Linked DNA regions of Arabidopsis thaliana. The protein of the gene in region 4 interacts with the protein of the main gene of each other region in a pairwise test. Each region holds a gene or a part of one and is shown on either strand. Other genes may lie near its edges. The genes, in order: ARGOS, AT5G56100, RK3 and AT5G55330.

What was found.
Region 1: the proteins of AT5G55330 (region 4) and ARGOS interact in a protein complementation assay, tested with the Arabidopsis thaliana proteins (one large-scale study listed by BioGRID).
Region 2: the proteins of AT5G55330 (region 4) and AT5G56100 interact in a protein complementation assay, tested with the Arabidopsis thaliana proteins (one large-scale study listed by BioGRID).
Region 3: the proteins of AT5G55330 (region 4) and RK3 interact in a protein complementation assay, tested with the Arabidopsis thaliana proteins (one large-scale study listed by BioGRID).

The regions. Positions count from the first base shown.
Region 1 is NC_003074.8:22,127,699-22,131,023, forward strand, and holds ARGOS (auxin-regulated gene involved in organ size), read left to right. Parts: upstream 1-1,806; 5' UTR 1,807-2,342; coding exon 2,343-2,735; 3' UTR 2,736-2,774; downstream 2,775-3,325. Other genes in the region: AT3G59910 (Ankyrin repeat family protein), read right to left, coding at 3,081-3,325. UniProt on the Arabidopsis thaliana protein: Promotes cell proliferation-dependent organ growth. Takes part in the AXR1-dependent auxin signaling pathway that requires ANT during organogenesis.
Region 2 is NC_003076.8:22,715,190-22,718,377, reverse strand, and holds AT5G56100 (glycine-rich protein / oleosin), read right to left. Parts: upstream 1,462-3,188; 5' UTR 1,258-1,461; coding exon 805-1,257; 3' UTR 529-804; downstream 1-528. Other genes in the region: COX15 (cytochrome c oxidase 15), read right to left, coding at 1,773-1,949, 2,029-2,160, 2,236-2,346, 2,440-2,685, 2,778-3,003, 3,119-3,188.
Region 3 is NC_003075.7:11,388,326-11,394,813, reverse strand, and holds RK3 (receptor kinase 3), read left to right. Parts: upstream 1-1,587; 5' UTR 1,588-1,723; coding exon 1,724-3,020; intron 3,021-3,901; coding exon 3,902-4,036; intron 4,037-4,125; coding exon 4,126-4,319; intron 4,320-4,397; coding exon 4,398-4,608; coding exon of another isoform or gene 4,609-4,613; exon of another isoform or gene 4,614-4,699; coding exon 4,700-4,937; intron 4,938-5,033; coding exon 5,034-5,184; intron 5,185-5,268; coding exon 5,269-5,595; 3' UTR 5,596-5,987; downstream 5,988-6,488. Other genes in the region: B120 (S-locus lectin protein kinase family protein), read left to right, coding at 39-356. UniProt on the Arabidopsis thaliana protein: Involved in the regulation of cellular expansion and differentiation.
Region 4 is NC_003076.8:22,436,937-22,440,824, reverse strand, and holds AT5G55330 (MBOAT (membrane bound O-acyl transferase) family protein), read left to right. Parts: upstream 1-1,940; 5' UTR 1,941-1,959; coding exon 1,960-3,000; 3' UTR 3,001-3,354; downstream 3,355-3,888. Other genes in the region: AT5G55340 (MBOAT (membrane bound O-acyl transferase) family protein), read left to right, coding at 1-840. UniProt on the Arabidopsis thaliana protein: Catalyzes the final step in the synthesis of long-chain linear esters (waxes).

The DNA.
Region 1 (3,325 bases), on a different chromosome or scaffold from region 4:
GAACGTTATGAAACTGAGCATATGGACCTTGTTATTGAGATTATTGTAATGCATCAAGTGTCTAAGAATTAGACCAAAACATATGTCTATGCATATTGACTGTCGAAAATCAATTAAATTAGAAGTAGGGTATATAAAACAAGAAGAAGCAATATTTAAACATGACTGACTTATTAGTAAGACAGAGGGAATAATATTATGATAATACTTTTTTTTCTTGAACTTTTTGATACAGGTCCACTGGACACCAATCTAAATGTGTGCGGTGTTCAAGGCAATAATCATGCATGGGTTGCCATATATACACACCTACATCTTAACTTTCCACCATTATTTACTCATCTAGTCTTCAATAAACAAATTCCATTACTAATTAAAAACGTACAAATAGAGATGTTTAATCGTAATACTGTATATCTATCCAAGAACAAACACACAAGTGAACTGAATTTTAAACTGATTAATTCTTTTGTTTCCAAAGAACTTAAAAGGAAGTACTTTTATTTAAATAAAAAATAAATCTTAAACCGCACCAAATAAGTTTTGGTTACTAGTGTATACATTCAGTGAACATTTTTATGAACCCATATTTTAGTAAAAGTATTCTCTTGATTGTAGAGACAAACACTAAACACAAATAAATTGATTTTTTTAGTTGAGCTTATGCTGAGAAGATCCATTTGACAATTTTCTTTCCTTTTTTTGGTCAACGATTCAAGGAGATCCATTTTCTCATCCCTAAATATACGATTTTCGTATCTGTAGAGTAGGAGTAGAAACTAGCGGATCTTTCGATATAAACATTCTAAATTATTAATTTAGGGTTTGTCATCCATGCAAAAAACTTTGTTGGTACACGTCAAATAGTTTAATATCTGAAGCTGCAGTCTTCGTATATTGTTAATTTGGCCTAATTAAAGTAATGCTGCACAATTAATGTGGATAACTAGTGTTGTAGTATTGGTAATCTATCAATTCTCCCAAACTACTCATCGGCTTTTTTGTATCTAAAGGCCAGGAAAAAAACTAATAAAACCACTTGACGTTGTTTCTAAAGGAAATGGCCTATATGTTTCTCAATTCATTGAACCATGAATTATATTTATGGGATTAACTATATTTATATATTAAAAGTAACAAGTGATTTCCGACTGAGTTACTAGCGAAGTCTATTTGCTTTAATTCATCATTCTGTGAGAATTCATCCTCTGGCGATATAAACATCTTGGCTTTATTAAAAACCATCCTCTCATCAAGACTTCACATGCAAAGCGTGTTGTCACGTTACTATGTCCGATCTCCATATACACGTAAATATATAAAAATAGCATCGTGAATTAATTTGAAAAACATTCCTAGCTATTTAACTTGGCTTTATATATAGAAATATGAGAGCATATACATATATTGGCCCAACATTTCCTGGTAGAACAAGCGCATTCACCATATGAAGTGCTTCGAGAAGAACAACACTATGGGTCCTTATTTATCCATAAACATCGACAAAATTATTGGTAGGTACGTTAATAAAAATAATTTCCTCATCGCATCAAATATTTGATTATAAAATTTTAAAAATCAACCTGTATATTAATAACTGGATGATTCAAAATAAACTAGAAAATTATTTTCTTAAAAATTTATAGAATGGTAAAAAGATGGTTTTAAAACTCATTTATTTAAATACTACTTACATATTCAGATCAGAGGAGATTGTAGCTTACGTCATATGTTATATAAGTAAAAGAAATGGTAGAAAAAGTAAGAGAAAAGAAGACCAGGGGAGAAGAACCTTGTGATTGTGGAGGAAGACTAGGCCACACGAAATTCAAATCTTTCAAATTCAGCAACTTGCTTCTCCTCACATTTGTCAGCCCCTTTATATAATAAACGTTCCTCTTTTTCGTCTTTTCAACATATCAGAAAATCCCTAAATTCACTGAACCCTCTTCTCTCTCTTTCTCCCCCCATATCTTCTGATTCTCCTCCAACTCCTTTATTAATAAATTCTCCTCTTTCATTGCTACTTGTCTTCCTCATTTCCCTACTAGTACTTGTTTCACACAGTTTCTTGATCCAACCAAAACCAATACACAAAGCTTCTCAAACTCCTTCACCTCAAAGCTTCTTCCTTTACATCTGAATCGTTGAGTTAACTCGGATTTGTTCTGCATCCTCTGTTTCTGAATCGTGGGCCATCCTTATTTTGTCTCGAATTCTTCACCAATTGCTTCGATCAAGCTGCATTGGTTAACCAGTTGCCCTAAAGATCAGATCTTTGAGCAAAATTTTGTCACTGATCTTCTAAATCCAAACCAGACACAGCAAAACAACCTCTGTAGATGATTCGAGAAATCTCAAACTTACAAAAAGATATTATAAACATTCAAGACAGTTATTCGAACAACCGAGTCATGGACGTCGGAAGAAACAACCGGAAAAACATGAGCTTTCGAAGTTCGCCGGAGAAAAGCAAGCAAGAGTTACGGCGGAGTTTCTCGGCGCAGAAAAGGATGATGATCCCGGCGAATTATTTCAGTTTAGAGTCTCTGTTCCTATTGGTTGGTCTAACGGCATCTCTGTTAATACTTCCGTTAGTTTTGCCGCCGTTACCTCCGCCTCCGTTTATGCTGCTATTGGTTCCCATTGGGATTATGGTTTTACTCGTCGTTCTTGCCTTCATGCCTTCTTCTCATTCTAATGCTAATACAGATGTAACTTGCAATTTCATGTAAATCTGAAATTTATTATATGATGATCTTAATTAATCTTAGGGTTCTTAATCCAATGAAATTGATATACAATATAAATGTAAGTTATAAATATTACATTAAATTATCATAATATATATATGTGAGAATACTTCAACGCACAATAAGAGAAATGGAGGAGAAGAGACTGACATAATATAGAAGCATCATAAGAAGAAATTATACAAAAAAAAAAAAAAAACCTCACTTCGTCATCTCAAACCCAAATCCCAATATCCGTTAATTTAAATCGTAGTATTTATTTGCTTATTTTCAACTATTCGTAGAAATTAGAAAACCAGTGAAGCCCAAAAGCAGAATCCATTTGTTTCAATCGAAAATGGCGGTAAGGTGATGCTCCAAAACCGCCATAAGGTTACGAGTCTGGCTTACTTCCACAACTGCAACAGCACAGCCTTGAAGCTGTCTCACTGCTTCTACAAGCTGTCCTCTTAGCCTCTGAGACAGTAACCGACCGTCCGCTTTCATGCACTCTCTGTACAGCGGCATGTACGCTATTGCTACTCTTAGCGGTGCAGGAAGGTCTCTTAAGGATATCGCTGACTCCCCTTTTT
Region 2 (3,188 bases), 280 kb from region 4:
TAAACAAGTAGTGGTAAATCCACATTATTACAAACTTGAATATCGATCAAAATGTAAATATATAGTAATATTTATGGAATAGATATAGTAGTATACTTTTGAATTTGAAAATTAGATGAGAGACACTTATAAAATTCTTAGACTTCTAATTCAAAATCAATTGATAATTAATACATTATACTTTACAGACATATATGTATTTATCTTGTTAACATTGGAAAATTAGTTTCAGTTTCTCTGTAATAGTTATCTAAGGCTTTTTATTTTTTTTTGGCCATAGAAGCTCCTTGCCCCCAGCTTTGTAAATAACCTCTTTCCTTTTGGTAATATAATTCACATTTTATCAAAAAAAAAAAAAAAAAATTGGAAAACTATGTTTTCGATAATATGGATAATAATCCGGATAATGTGGATTTGGATAATTCAAACAATTCAGATAGACATGGTGATTGTACTTCGGATAATCCATCCCCCACAACTTGTGATTAATTTTATCTTTGAAAATTATTATATCAATTAAACTTAACAATCTGTTTTGACCTAAAGAAACTTACAATTTATTTATTCTATTATTTTTGGTTTTCATCTGTTTGCTATTTGTCTTGACTTGGGAAAAAACACAACTTGAAAAAAATGATATAGCATTACTAGATTTTCTTTGGATAGATATTACAAATTTTCACTCTCGAAAAAATCTACTTAATTTTGTTTTCTTATCATAGCCATGTCTCTGTTTTTTTTTGTTTCTTTATTCACCATCTTCTTGAAATTCCCATGAATCATGAGACTTTTTCCAAGTTTGAACTAAGAAGAAGAGTAATCCCGAGAAGAAGGAGAAGAAGTTGAATAACTATCCTCTGATTTGTCTCGCAAGTAACGACTCCGACCGTAACCTAATTCTCTCACCACCGACTCAACCATCCTCCCAGCCAGTCCGGTTTCAATACCAATCTCTCGGCCACAACATACCAAAGCGGCTATTCCCATCATCCACATGGCTGCAGCTACCCCAACACCAACCATAGCCGACACAAGAACCGCTACCGTTACCATAAAAGCTGGAGCAAATATCAGCAGCAATGGAGAAGCGATCAGAAACAGAGTCACCGTCGCCACAAAGCTGAAACTCATCAGACCAAAAAGCGGTCCTACCACTGCAACAGCTGCTACGGTTGCAGCCACAACCGAAGAACCGGTCGTTCTTTCTCCATCGGTTATGGCTATGTCTCTTCTTCTCCTTCCTCCAGGATTCTCCATAGTAGTAGTGTGAAGTTGAACAAAGAATTTTGTACCATGGCTATATAGAAAGGAAGATGGTAGGCTACTGACACGTGGATACCGATAAGCTACAGTATTACGACACGTGGATAGTCTTGTATATCCAAAACGCCAAAAAACTGTCTCGAAACATTATCCACAACCACAAGGCTTACGGATTTGAACCGGACTGAATTAACCGAATCGTATCTAAACTAAAACCGAACTAAAATTTACCACTGAACCAAATTGGTATAAGAAATTATTGACTCTAAAACTAGAATTATCCAATGATTTTCTATTGGCAATGAAACAAACAACACGAAGCTATCAATGAAAGTTATCAGAGTTCTGGGATTCATATGAAACTTTTGTTAATTGTTTTTGTACTTTATTTTTCGAACCATACAACATCATTGACACAAGATTCGATGAAAGCTTGCTAGTAGCATAGTGAGCCAAAGAATTGTTTTTTTAGTAAATAATGAAAAAGGAAAGATTTTGGTGAAGAGGGCTTAGCTGAAATTTGATTTAGCAACTTGTGGAAGAGATTTGAGAAGAGAAGGTGATGGCCTCCGAAGAGTGTGATTGAGAAGTAGCATCAAAGTGAGAAGTGTTAAAGCTCCTGCTTGGTGTGCACTTCCTAGTGAAACCGGAACATAACTCAGAAGCGTTGATACACCTAATGTCACCTGCAAAATACAAAAAGGGAAACCTTATCAATGGTTTTGATTTTAGGTTTCCATTAAAGTTTATGATGATTGATTTTACCTGAACAGCAGTCATTCCAACAGTACTTCCGATCAAAGCTTTAACAGCTGGATGTATGTCTAGCTTCCTTGTGAACCACCACATTGTTCCGATTGCGATTAATGTTGTGGTTGCCAGAAGGCGATGATCAAGCTGAAATTTAAGTAATTTTTCAGTCTTTTTGAGATTCTTGAAGCAAATTGAGAAAGCTTTGTGTCAATGGTGTACCTGAACAGTTGCTGTGTTCTCGAAAAAGTTGCGTAAAAGTGGTTTCATCTCAAATATATTATCTGGGATCCATGTGTCACCCATTTTGGGAAATGTGTTGAATGCACGACCCTAAAATTCACAAACAGAGAGATCAATATACTAAGCTTCCTTTCTGTAACTAATATAATAGAAGCTTAGATCCAACTTTGTTAGTTTACTTACAGCATCATTTCCAGCAACAAATGCTCCTGAAATTGCAGTGATACCAACAATCAAGCTTACTGGTAATGCAAGCTTCTTCACTTTAGCTGCTCCGCGAACCCAAGCCAGTGACTCAGCTGGTGGTTCAGGCATAACAACAGAGAGAGCGGTCCAGAAAAGTCCACAATAAATGGCAAAAGCTGAGGTCAGGTGAGCTGCAAGACGGTATGGGCTTACCCTCGGTTGAGAATACTCAGACGGTGGCTCCTACAAGACCAAACTGATTACTGGTTGGTTACACAATATTCAGCACATAACAACATCTAATAAGAGGATCTACCACACTTCCTAATGCTTACCTCTAAACCACTTTTAACCATCCACCAACCAATGAAACCTTGTCCAGCACCAAGCGCAAATAAACCAGAGAGCTGAACTCCAAGACGTAGAGTAATATACCCTTTACGCAGAAAATAAGAAAACGGCAAAGCAAACATGATTCCCAATCCTCTTCCCCACATTCGATGAGCATACTCCATCCAATATATGAACTTAAAATCTTCAAGGTTCATCCCTTTGTTCACACTACAAAACACCAAATCCCAAAACACAAACAGCATTTTCAAGATCAAGACTTCGTCCAAATACAGAAAACGCAAATGCAAGCAACAGCTTTAGCTACCAAAATCGAAACACTAACCGCTTATATTCAGGTGACTGCTTATATTTCTCAAACTCCTTAGCCCAAGCTTCATCTGACAGAGGAGGGA
Region 3 (6,488 bases), on a different chromosome or scaffold from region 4:
AAATGGTCTAATTAGTGGTGGAAACTGAATGCTTGCAGGCTTGGTATTTGTATACTCATGGGAGATCAGAGGAGCTTGTGGATCCTAAGATCAGGGTCACATGCAGTAAGCGAGAGGCCTTGAGATGCATACACGTAGCGATGCTATGTGTTCAAGATTCGGCTGCGGAGAGACCCAACATGGCTTCAGTTTTGCTTATGTTAGAGAGTGACACAGCGACGCTCGCTGCGCCTAGACAACCAACGTTTACTTCCACCAGAAGAAACTCCATTGATGTCAACTTTGCTCTTGATTCGAGCCAACAATACATCGTTTCTTCTAATGAGATCACTTCAACGGTTGTTCTTGGACGATAAGATTCTTTTGTTTGTTCTTTTGTAAAGTTTTTTTTTATATAATTGTTGTGAAAACGTATAATATTTTTTGGTTAATTAGGATAATGGAGTAATGGTTGTTGAAACTTGAAATTTTGTTCATAAAGTGAAACATTACAAATGGGGTTTTATTACAGTATGATGTTGATATTTTGAAAAAATCACCACACTATTCTTTTTCAAAAATATCACAATGGATCAATTTACAAGTATAAACAAATGAAAACAGATAAAATATCAAAAAGCATTTATCTGAAATAAATCTTCAAATAAATCGTTTATACTATAACAAAGGTGGTAGTCTTAAAATATTTAGGTTAGTTTTGAAATGAGGATCATAATAATTGTTTTTCATTCTATTAAATATAGGTGAGTTGTTTCAAATATTGTAGGATTATTGTGTTTAATTTAATTAAAATGTGATTGATTTTTATGTATAGAGTTATTATATATAAATCAAACGAGGAACGAAGAATTATGAGGATGTTCAAAAATAAGACTTTTGGAGCGTTGACTATGGTAATTAGTACTGTTTTGATGGTGAAAAGAGTATTCGGTCTTCGTATTTCATACTTATATAATATACCTAAAACCGTGTTAACATAAATTTTCCTCTCCTCCAAGCTCCAAAGCCAAAAATCGTCAAACAAAATGCATAGGACAACATTATATTTGGTGATGAATAATTCAAATGTAGACTCATTATTAAATTGAATGGAATGATGAATTATTTAGAGTTAGAGAAAAAAAGAAAAAGTCAGGAAAACGTGAAACGACCCCTTTCTTTTTTGTCTTCGGAGAATGCGGAAATAAATTAAAGTAGGGTTTGTTTGATGAATACTAACATTGAAGTTCTTATTGGGAAGGATAAAAAAAAAATTGAGTTATTTATTACGAAAAAGAACACTGAAATTTATATAACTCTCGAAGCATGCATACAAAAGGTTGACTGATAATAAAATACGAAAAAGCAATATATTAAGTAATTTATTAAAAAAAATGGTCATCAATAATATCATATTTTGAAGAAAAATTCTGAATTTATGAAGTAAAAATGACTATTGGAAAAGGAAAGAAAGCCTGACAAAAAAAAAGAAGAAGAAGACTTTTTATTTGCTAGGTCAACTATGAATTGGACTGTACACATAGTACATAACTAGATATTTTTTCCAAATGCGAACAAGAAGACCAAGAAAAGAAAAAAAGCAAGGTAATATATTATTGACAGAAATAAAATCGGTTACGTAAGGTTCACACATTACACAAAACATGTCCGATATCTCCAATGGAAATAAACTCTCATACTTTTCTCAAGAAAGAGTGAAAAACAAAAAACTTGGTTTAGAGAAATGAGAGGTTTACCAAATTTCTACCATTCTTACACCTTCTTCTTCTTCTTCCTCTTAATTCTGTTCCCTGCTTACTCTATCTCTGCCAACACTTTGTCGGCTTCAGAATCTCTAACTATCTCAAGCAATAACACCATTGTGTCTCCTGGTAATGTCTTCGAGCTTGGTTTCTTCAAACCCGGTTTAGATTCTCGTTGGTATCTTGGAATTTGGTACAAGGCAATCTCTAAGAGAACCTACGTATGGGTTGCAAACAGAGACACTCCTCTCTCTAGTTCCATCGGAACTCTCAAAATCTCCGACAGTAATCTTGTCGTTTTGGATCAGTCCGATACACCGGTTTGGTCGACGAATCTGACCGGAGGAGATGTGAGATCTCCATTGGTGGCAGAGCTTCTTGATAATGGTAATTTTGTGCTCAGAGACTCCAAGAACAGCGCTCCAGATGGAGTTTTGTGGCAGAGTTTTGATTTTCCGACAGATACTTTACTTCCGGAGATGAAACTTGGCTGGGATGCCAAAACCGGGTTCAACAGATTCATTAGATCATGGAAATCTCCAGATGATCCATCAAGTGGAGATTTCTCGTTCAAACTCGAAACCGAAGGCTTCCCTGAGATTTTTCTATGGAACAGAGAATCACGAATGTACCGGAGTGGTCCATGGAATGGAATCCGGTTTAGTGGTGTACCGGAGATGCAACCATTTGAATACATGGTTTTCAATTTCACTACGAGTAAAGAAGAAGTGACTTACTCATTTAGAATCACTAAAAGCGACGTTTACTCGAGATTAAGCATAAGCTCCTCAGGATTGTTACAAAGATTCACTTGGATTGAGACAGCACAGAATTGGAACCAATTCTGGTACGCACCAAAAGACCAATGTGATGAGTACAAAGAGTGTGGTGTTTACGGTTATTGCGACTCGAACACTTCACCTGTTTGTAATTGTATTAAAGGGTTTAAGCCGAGGAATCCTCAAGTGTGGGGATTGAGAGACGGGTCGGATGGTTGCGTGAGGAAGACGCTACTGAGCTGTGGTGGCGGAGATGGGTTTGTGCGGTTGAAGAAAATGAAATTGCCGGATACTACCACGGCTAGTGTGGACAGAGGAATTGGTGTGAAAGAATGTGAACAGAAGTGTTTAAGAGATTGTAATTGCACGGCGTTTGCGAATACGGATATCCGGGGTAGCGGGTCGGGTTGTGTGACTTGGACCGGAGAGCTTTTTGATATCAGGAATTATGCCAAAGGTGGTCAAGATCTTTACGTTAGATTGGCTGCTACTGATCTCGGTTAGTTCATTCTCCACTATCTCTATTAGACTAAATGACATATGTTTGGTTTTCATTTTCCACATATTTACTTTTGCTAAGTAACGGTTGATAATAGTCTTCAAGATCACTTTTCAAAACATGTAAACAGTTTTATACATACTAGAAACTAAAAAGACATCATAAAAGATTTTGTCAGTAAGACTAAAAATTGATGCTAAAACTGCCCAATCAAGTTATTGAGTAATCCTATCACATTATACTAAAGATTTTCTTAAACGACAAAAGGAAGAAACGTTTTTTAAGGGTTTCAAGAATAGTAATTAACTTGGTTGTTAGATAAAGCACTTTTTTTTTGGGGTAGAATGTGAGAATGGTGTTGAATAGTGCAAGTCAATGTTATATTGTTGTTGGTTAACGAATTTGGAATTTAACAAAACGTTTTTCAGTTTTATTTTCCCTCTTTTCAAACTTCTTAAACTTGATTGAGATGTTGACGCATTCGGTCTTGGCATTATATGTGAAAACTCTTGTGATAAAGAACTAAGGTCCAATGGACTTTTAATCTTCTTAAAAGATGCAACGCATGAGTGAAACTTTTGATTACTACTATATTCTTCACAAAAACTTATCAATCTCAAGAATAATATGGTAAGGTAGATCCAAAGCCAAAAGAAATTATTTTTAGGTAGACCAATCTTTATGTTTTGTTTTTATTGGCGATAACAGTATAACGCTGTTTTTTGTTTGTTGGCGTTTATCTTTAATCAAAAGTACGACAATGTTTATTATTTTGTTAAATCATAAGACTAATACTAGTTTGTTTTATAAAATGATATTCATTTCCATGGTCGAGGTCCTAAATGTTGTGCTCAATTTGACATCTCTTTTCATTATTTCAGAGGACAAAAGAAACAGAAGTGCAAAAATCATAGGTTCGAGTATTGGAGTGAGCGTTTTGCTTCTTTTAAGTTTCATTATCTTCTTCTTGTGGAAAAGGAAGCAGAAGCGATCAATACTAATCGAAACACCTATTGGTATATCTGTAAATTTTAATTCCTTTCTTTTTGTTTGTAAATTTCTTAAAACTAATATCTTTACTGTTTTTGGTGTCTGTATGTAACAGTTGATCATCAACTGAGAAGCCGAGATTTGCTAATGAACGAAGTTGTAATATCAAGTAGGAGACACATATCTAGAGAAAACAATACAGACGATCTCGAATTGCCATTGATGGAGTTTGAAGAAGTTGCCATGGCCACAAACAATTTTTCTAACGCCAACAAGCTAGGACAAGGTGGTTTTGGTATAGTTTATAAGGTAAAAATGATTGAAAACTTAATTCATAATCTATCGCTGGACAAATATTTCGTTGTGTAACAAAATTAAGGGTTACAGGGAAAGTTACTTGATGGTCAAGAAATGGCAGTGAAGAGACTATCAAAGACATCAGTTCAGGGGACTGATGAGTTCAAGAATGAGGTAAAGTTGATTGCAAGGCTTCAGCACATAAACCTTGTTAGGCTTCTTGCATGTTGCGTCGATGCGGGTGAGAAGATGTTGATTTACGAGTACTTGGAAAATCTAAGCCTCGACTCTCATCTATTTGGTTAGTGTCTCAACTCCTTACAACTCTGTTCTAACAATTTTTCAATGTCTTTAAAAATAATGTACTCAATCCAGTGATGATTCATTAGCAGACAAATCCCGAAACTCTAAGCTAAATTGGCAAATGAGATTTGATATCATCAATGGTATTGCTCGAGGACTTCTATATCTTCACCAAGATTCACGGTTTAGAATTATCCATAGAGACTTGAAAGCAAGTAACATCTTGCTTGATAAATATATGACTCCAAAGATCTCGGATTTCGGAATGGCTAGGATCTTTGGACGGGATGAGACAGAAGCTAATACGAGGAAGGTGGTTGGAACCTAGTAAGCAATCATTCTCCAAAATATTAAAAATCTTTGTTTGAAATCTGAATTAAAAAAAAATAACTCAAAACTTTGAGTCTAATCTTCGTTATTCAGCGGTTATATGTCTCCTGAATATGCAATGGACGGGATATTCTCGATGAAGTCAGATGTTTTCAGTTTTGGGGTCTTGCTTCTTGAGATTATAAGTAGCAAGAGGAACAAAGGATTCTACAATTCGGACCGTGACCTTAACCTTCTCGGTTGTGTAAGTTAAAAACCTCTCAAACTTGATCTTGTTTTACACTCAAAATAATGATAACACTAGAAAAATTTCGATCATTATACACAGGTGTGGAGGAATTGGAAAGAAGGAAAAGGGCTAGAGATCATAGATCCAATCATCACAGATTCTTCATCAACATTCAGGCAACATGAAATCTTAAGATGCATACAAATTGGCCTCTTGTGTGTTCAAGAACGTGCAGAGGACAGACCAACTATGTCCTTGGTAATTTTGATGCTCGGAAGCGAATCAACAACTATTCCTCAACCTAAAGCGCCCGGTTATTGCCTGGAGAGAAGTCTTCTTGACACTGATTCTTCGTCGAGTAAACAGCGCGACGATGAATCATGGACAGTGAACCAAATTACTGTCTCGGTCCTTGATGCTCGGTAATGTGACTGTCAACTAGCCAATCTTCTATACTAAGATGACTAAATTGAGCGACAATAAGAATCAACTAGGAAAGATGGTATTAGTTATGTGCATAGTATTTTCTCTGTACGTCTCCGTTGCAAAGGTTACTACATGATTCAATTGTCTTAATTAAGCATGTATTCTGTAATTGCTTTATGGATAACCCAAATAGTCCTGCAGTTATAGGACATCAATGTGATATTTTGAAAGATTCTCAGACTTTCATATTATAAATTATGGCTACTAGAAGAGGCAAATATTGTTGGTTAGTAGAATTTCGGGTTGTACGTTTTGAGATTAGGTTTGTACATGTTGTAATAGATTTTTTTTTTAATAAGTACATACGTTATAAGAATTTTTTATGATCAGCAACACCTATTTCCATCGCTAACCATGGCCAAAATCCGGTGGATTTAATTTATGGGCTTTAGGAAGATCATGGGGGTATAGTGGATTTTTTGTTTTTAACTGATGACAGAGTAAATCCTTCATGGTTCCTTCATTTTAAGGTGATTTCAAATTTTCCTTCATTTCAAGGTGATTTCAATGTTTGTAGAGGCTTGATTAAAATTGTTTTAGATCATAAGGATTTTTGTGCATCAAAAGTGTTCGCAATTTCAATGTTTGGAGAGGCTTGATTAAAATTGTTTTAGATCATAAGGATTTTTATGCATCAAAAGTGTTCTGTCAAAATTCCTTAATTAACCTTTGATGAGTAGCTCGTCCTTTAATAATGATAGTTGATATACAGAATTGTGATTTATGAGCACATTAATATTGACATGAATGCTTGCTAATTTAAATTTTAAATGAGAGTTTAGAAATTTAGAATATTTAGCATAGATAATTAATTTCTTGAGAGATGATTTTTT
Region 4 (3,888 bases):
TCTCTGCATTTATCTTTAATCACAGCGTTTTTCCTCACATGGCTTGCTAATTTCAAACTCATCCTCTTCTCCTTCGATAAAGGTCCTTTAATCCCAATTCCAACAAATTTCCCTCGATTCTTCTGCTTCACTTGCTTCCCCATCAAGGTTCAGCAAAACCCTAAATCTCAAAACCATTTGCCCAAATTGGTTTTCGCCATTAAACTTGCAATCTTTGCAGTGCTATTACATTTGTATAGCTACAGACAAAATCTGTCTCCGACTATACTATTAGGTCTCTATTTTGTGCATCTCTACTTAGAGATTGAGATTATATTAACGTTTGTTAAAGTTGTTGTTTTTATCTCTCTTGGCTGCGATCTTGAGCCACAGTCCAATAAACCGTACTTAGCCACATCTCTACAAGACTTCTGGGGTCGCCGGTGGAATCTCATGGTTCCGGCGATTCTCCGGCCAGCCGTTTACGCACCAATGCGGCGAGTCTCTGAACGCAAAATGAGTTCCGGTTGGGCTCTGTTTCCGGGGATTTTGGCAGCGTTTATCGTCTCCGGTTTGGTTCACGAATTGCTCTTCTTCTATTTGATACGTGAGATGCCTACAGGAGAAGTTACTCTGTTCTTTGTGTTACATGGCGTTTGTACTGCTGTAGAATTGGCGGTGAAGAAGAAAACGACGGTAGCACAGCGGTGGCGGTTGAGTCCGGGGGTGTCGCGGGTTCTCACGGTGGGGTTTGTGTTTGTGACTGGTGGTTGGTTGTTTACACCTCAGCTTAAAAGGAGCGGGGTGATGGAGAGATTCACATCTGAAGCTGTGTTGCTCGTTGAGTTCATTAAGCGATAAGTTATTTTATTTACGTTGTTGGGGATATTTTATAACGAGTGTTAAATGAGCACGAGTTAACGTTATTGAGTCCGGTTGAGCATCAAAGTCCATAATGGTCAACTACTTATCTTGAAATGAATCGAACTTGTCTTGTTGAAGATGTCGGCAAGTTGGAATTAGTAGAAACTCTTTAAGATGCTGCCAGCATGTCTCTTGGTCTCTTCATGCCGTTTCTTTCTTTCTTATCAAACCCTAAAAAAACTGACTTGCTTCAGTTCCAAGTTCGTTGTACATGACGATTTGTTTTTACTTGGAACTAAAGAATGAAATAATAGTGTTACTTGGAACCAAACCAACACTTCCTATCGATCGATCAATTTTTGTTCCCTCGACTACTGTTTGTGTCATGTTCACGTGAACCCTTTGTAGAGAGATTATCTAAATACAACATAGTTGGGAGGAAAGATCGCCAAAGAGCGTTAGCGAGAGGAAGAAAAAAACTATATGGATTTCCCATATAACGTCAAGCATAGGTCAAAATGTTTACTCTGCTGTCAAATTATTTAAGAAATAGAAGCTTCATTGCTCCCTCATCGGTAGAATTCGTCAACTTATTGCAGGTTTTGAATCATTCAAATTCTTTAGTTCCAGGCGAAAACGAATTTTTATGATATATTGATATTGCTTGTGTAGTTGTGTTACGAGAGATGGGTGCGTTTCAACTCGTACTTAGAACGGGAGGTCCCGCATGGCTTCATAATCGCATTAAGGAGAAACGACAACCTTAGTTTTATTTCACTGTTTTTTACGAGTGTTAATTATGCTCTGCTCTGCTAACTTTTTCATAAAAAAATTCAATATTTAAGACGTTGAAAAGAAAAACTATAAACGGTAGTCATACTTATTTTTTTTTATTTTTACATACACTACTAGTACTATATTACTATATCATAAAAGAGGAAAGTACTTAATTTGATAGATTTTCCAGAGCCATTAACTACTCAACAACTGCCAATAGTTTTTTCCCTTAAATGTGTAACAAACATACTGTCTTTATTAATTGCTCCCACGCTTATATACTACAACTGTAAACATTTTTCCTATGTTTCTTGGTTTATTATCACTTAACCAGTAACCATGGAGGAAGAACTCAAGTTATTCATCCAAGTATGGGTTTCTGCAATCATTTCAGTAACTTATTGTTACTACTTAACACCCAAAATCAAAACCAGTCTTCTTCGATTACTATCTGTTCTTCCTGTTTGTGTTTTGTTTCTTATTATTCCTATCTTTTTCTCCACTGTTCATTCCTCTTTCACTATTGCATTTTTCCTCTCAGGTCTTGCAGTTCCAAAACTCATCCTCTTTGCATTAGAAAAAGGTCCTCTTTTTCCACTTCCTCCTAATCTCCCTCATTTCGTCTGCTTTGCTTGCTTCCCCATCAAGCTTCAAAAAAAACCTAACCCTGAAAATACTAACCATTTCCCCAAATGGGTTTTTGCCCTGAAAGTTTTCATCTTTGGTGCCTTGTTACTACAAGCGTATCATTACAAACAATTTCTATCTACGAATTTTCTATTGGGTCTCTATGCTCTGCATATATACTTGGAGCTTGAGATTTCCTTAACCTTGATAAAATTTCTCGTCAGTATCACTCTTGGGTGTGACCTCGAGCCACAATTCAACGAACCATACTTAGCCACCTCTCTACATGACTTCTGGGGTCACCGATGGAACCTCATGGTCTCGAAGATTCTCTGGCTCGCAGTGTACAACCCCATACGGCAATGGCGAGCCAAGAGCTCCGAGTGGGATCGGTTCTTCGCGATTTTCGCCACGTTCCTCGTCTCTGGTGTGGCTCACGAGATTCTCTACTTCTATTTGACACGTGAGAAGCCTACATGGGAGGTGACTTGGTTCTTTGTGTTACATGGGTTTTGCATGGCGGCTGAAGTGGCACTGAAGAGGAAGACGAAGTTGGTGCAGCGGTGGCCGGTGAATCCGGCAGTGTCGAGACTGCTTACGGTGGGGTTTGTGTTTGTGACTGGTGTTTGGCTATTTTCCCCCCAGCCTATTAGGCACGGCTTGATGGAGAGGTTCATCAATGAAGACTTGTTTCTAATTGATTTCTTTAATCGTAAGTTATATATCCTCTTAGGGTTGTTTACGAGTCTTTAATAAATGGGAAAATTGGAAACAAAGGATAAATATTTAAAGAAAGAGATGGTAAGATTCTAAGAGAAATTGAAGCGAGGGAAATAAAGAAAGATAAATTGAAAAAAAAAGAGTTTTGTTTTGGAGTTATTTGAGAGGAGTGAACAGCTTAATTTTTGTGAAGAATAGAGGAAGACAATATCGAAGAAGTGATGAACGACGACTCCAAGTAAAAGAATATTGATTTGCTCCAAGTAAAAATAAATTGGTTTGGACTTTTTGTTTTGTATTTTGTAAGCATAAAAAAGCTGGAGATATAGTGGGATTTAAATTATATTAAACGCATATGTCACCAATCTTGATCATAAAATGTATAGATGGAAATTTTTTTAAATATTTATCTTTTATTTCCAATTTCCCCTTAATAAAATTTACATGTTTATTTATCAAAGTTGTTTTGTTTTCGCTAAACTATCTTACAAATAAATTAATAGGTGTTGAAGACAAAACTTCATTTTTCATCTATCCTAAAAATAAAGAAACCTGAAAAATATGGCAAATTTACTAAAAATATTCCGGTAGAGTAGTAGTCTTTTTGAATAATAGTATTTTTCGAAAATTGGTACATCTAAGATTCAAAAGGGGTATTTCATGAAAATTCCTCATATATTTGTCTATACTAAAAATATAACTTTATAATAATTTGATGAAATAAATCGGTGATTAATATTTTTGGACAGTTAGGTATACTGGTCTAGTGTTAAACTTGACTTGAAGTTGAACCATGTGAATTCTCCCATACGGAGAACTACCACCTTACACCGATAGTCTCAACTAAACATGAACCATAAACTCTTTGACAATTTCTCACTTTCTTTTTATTTTTCTTCTTTACTTTGAATATTAATTAGT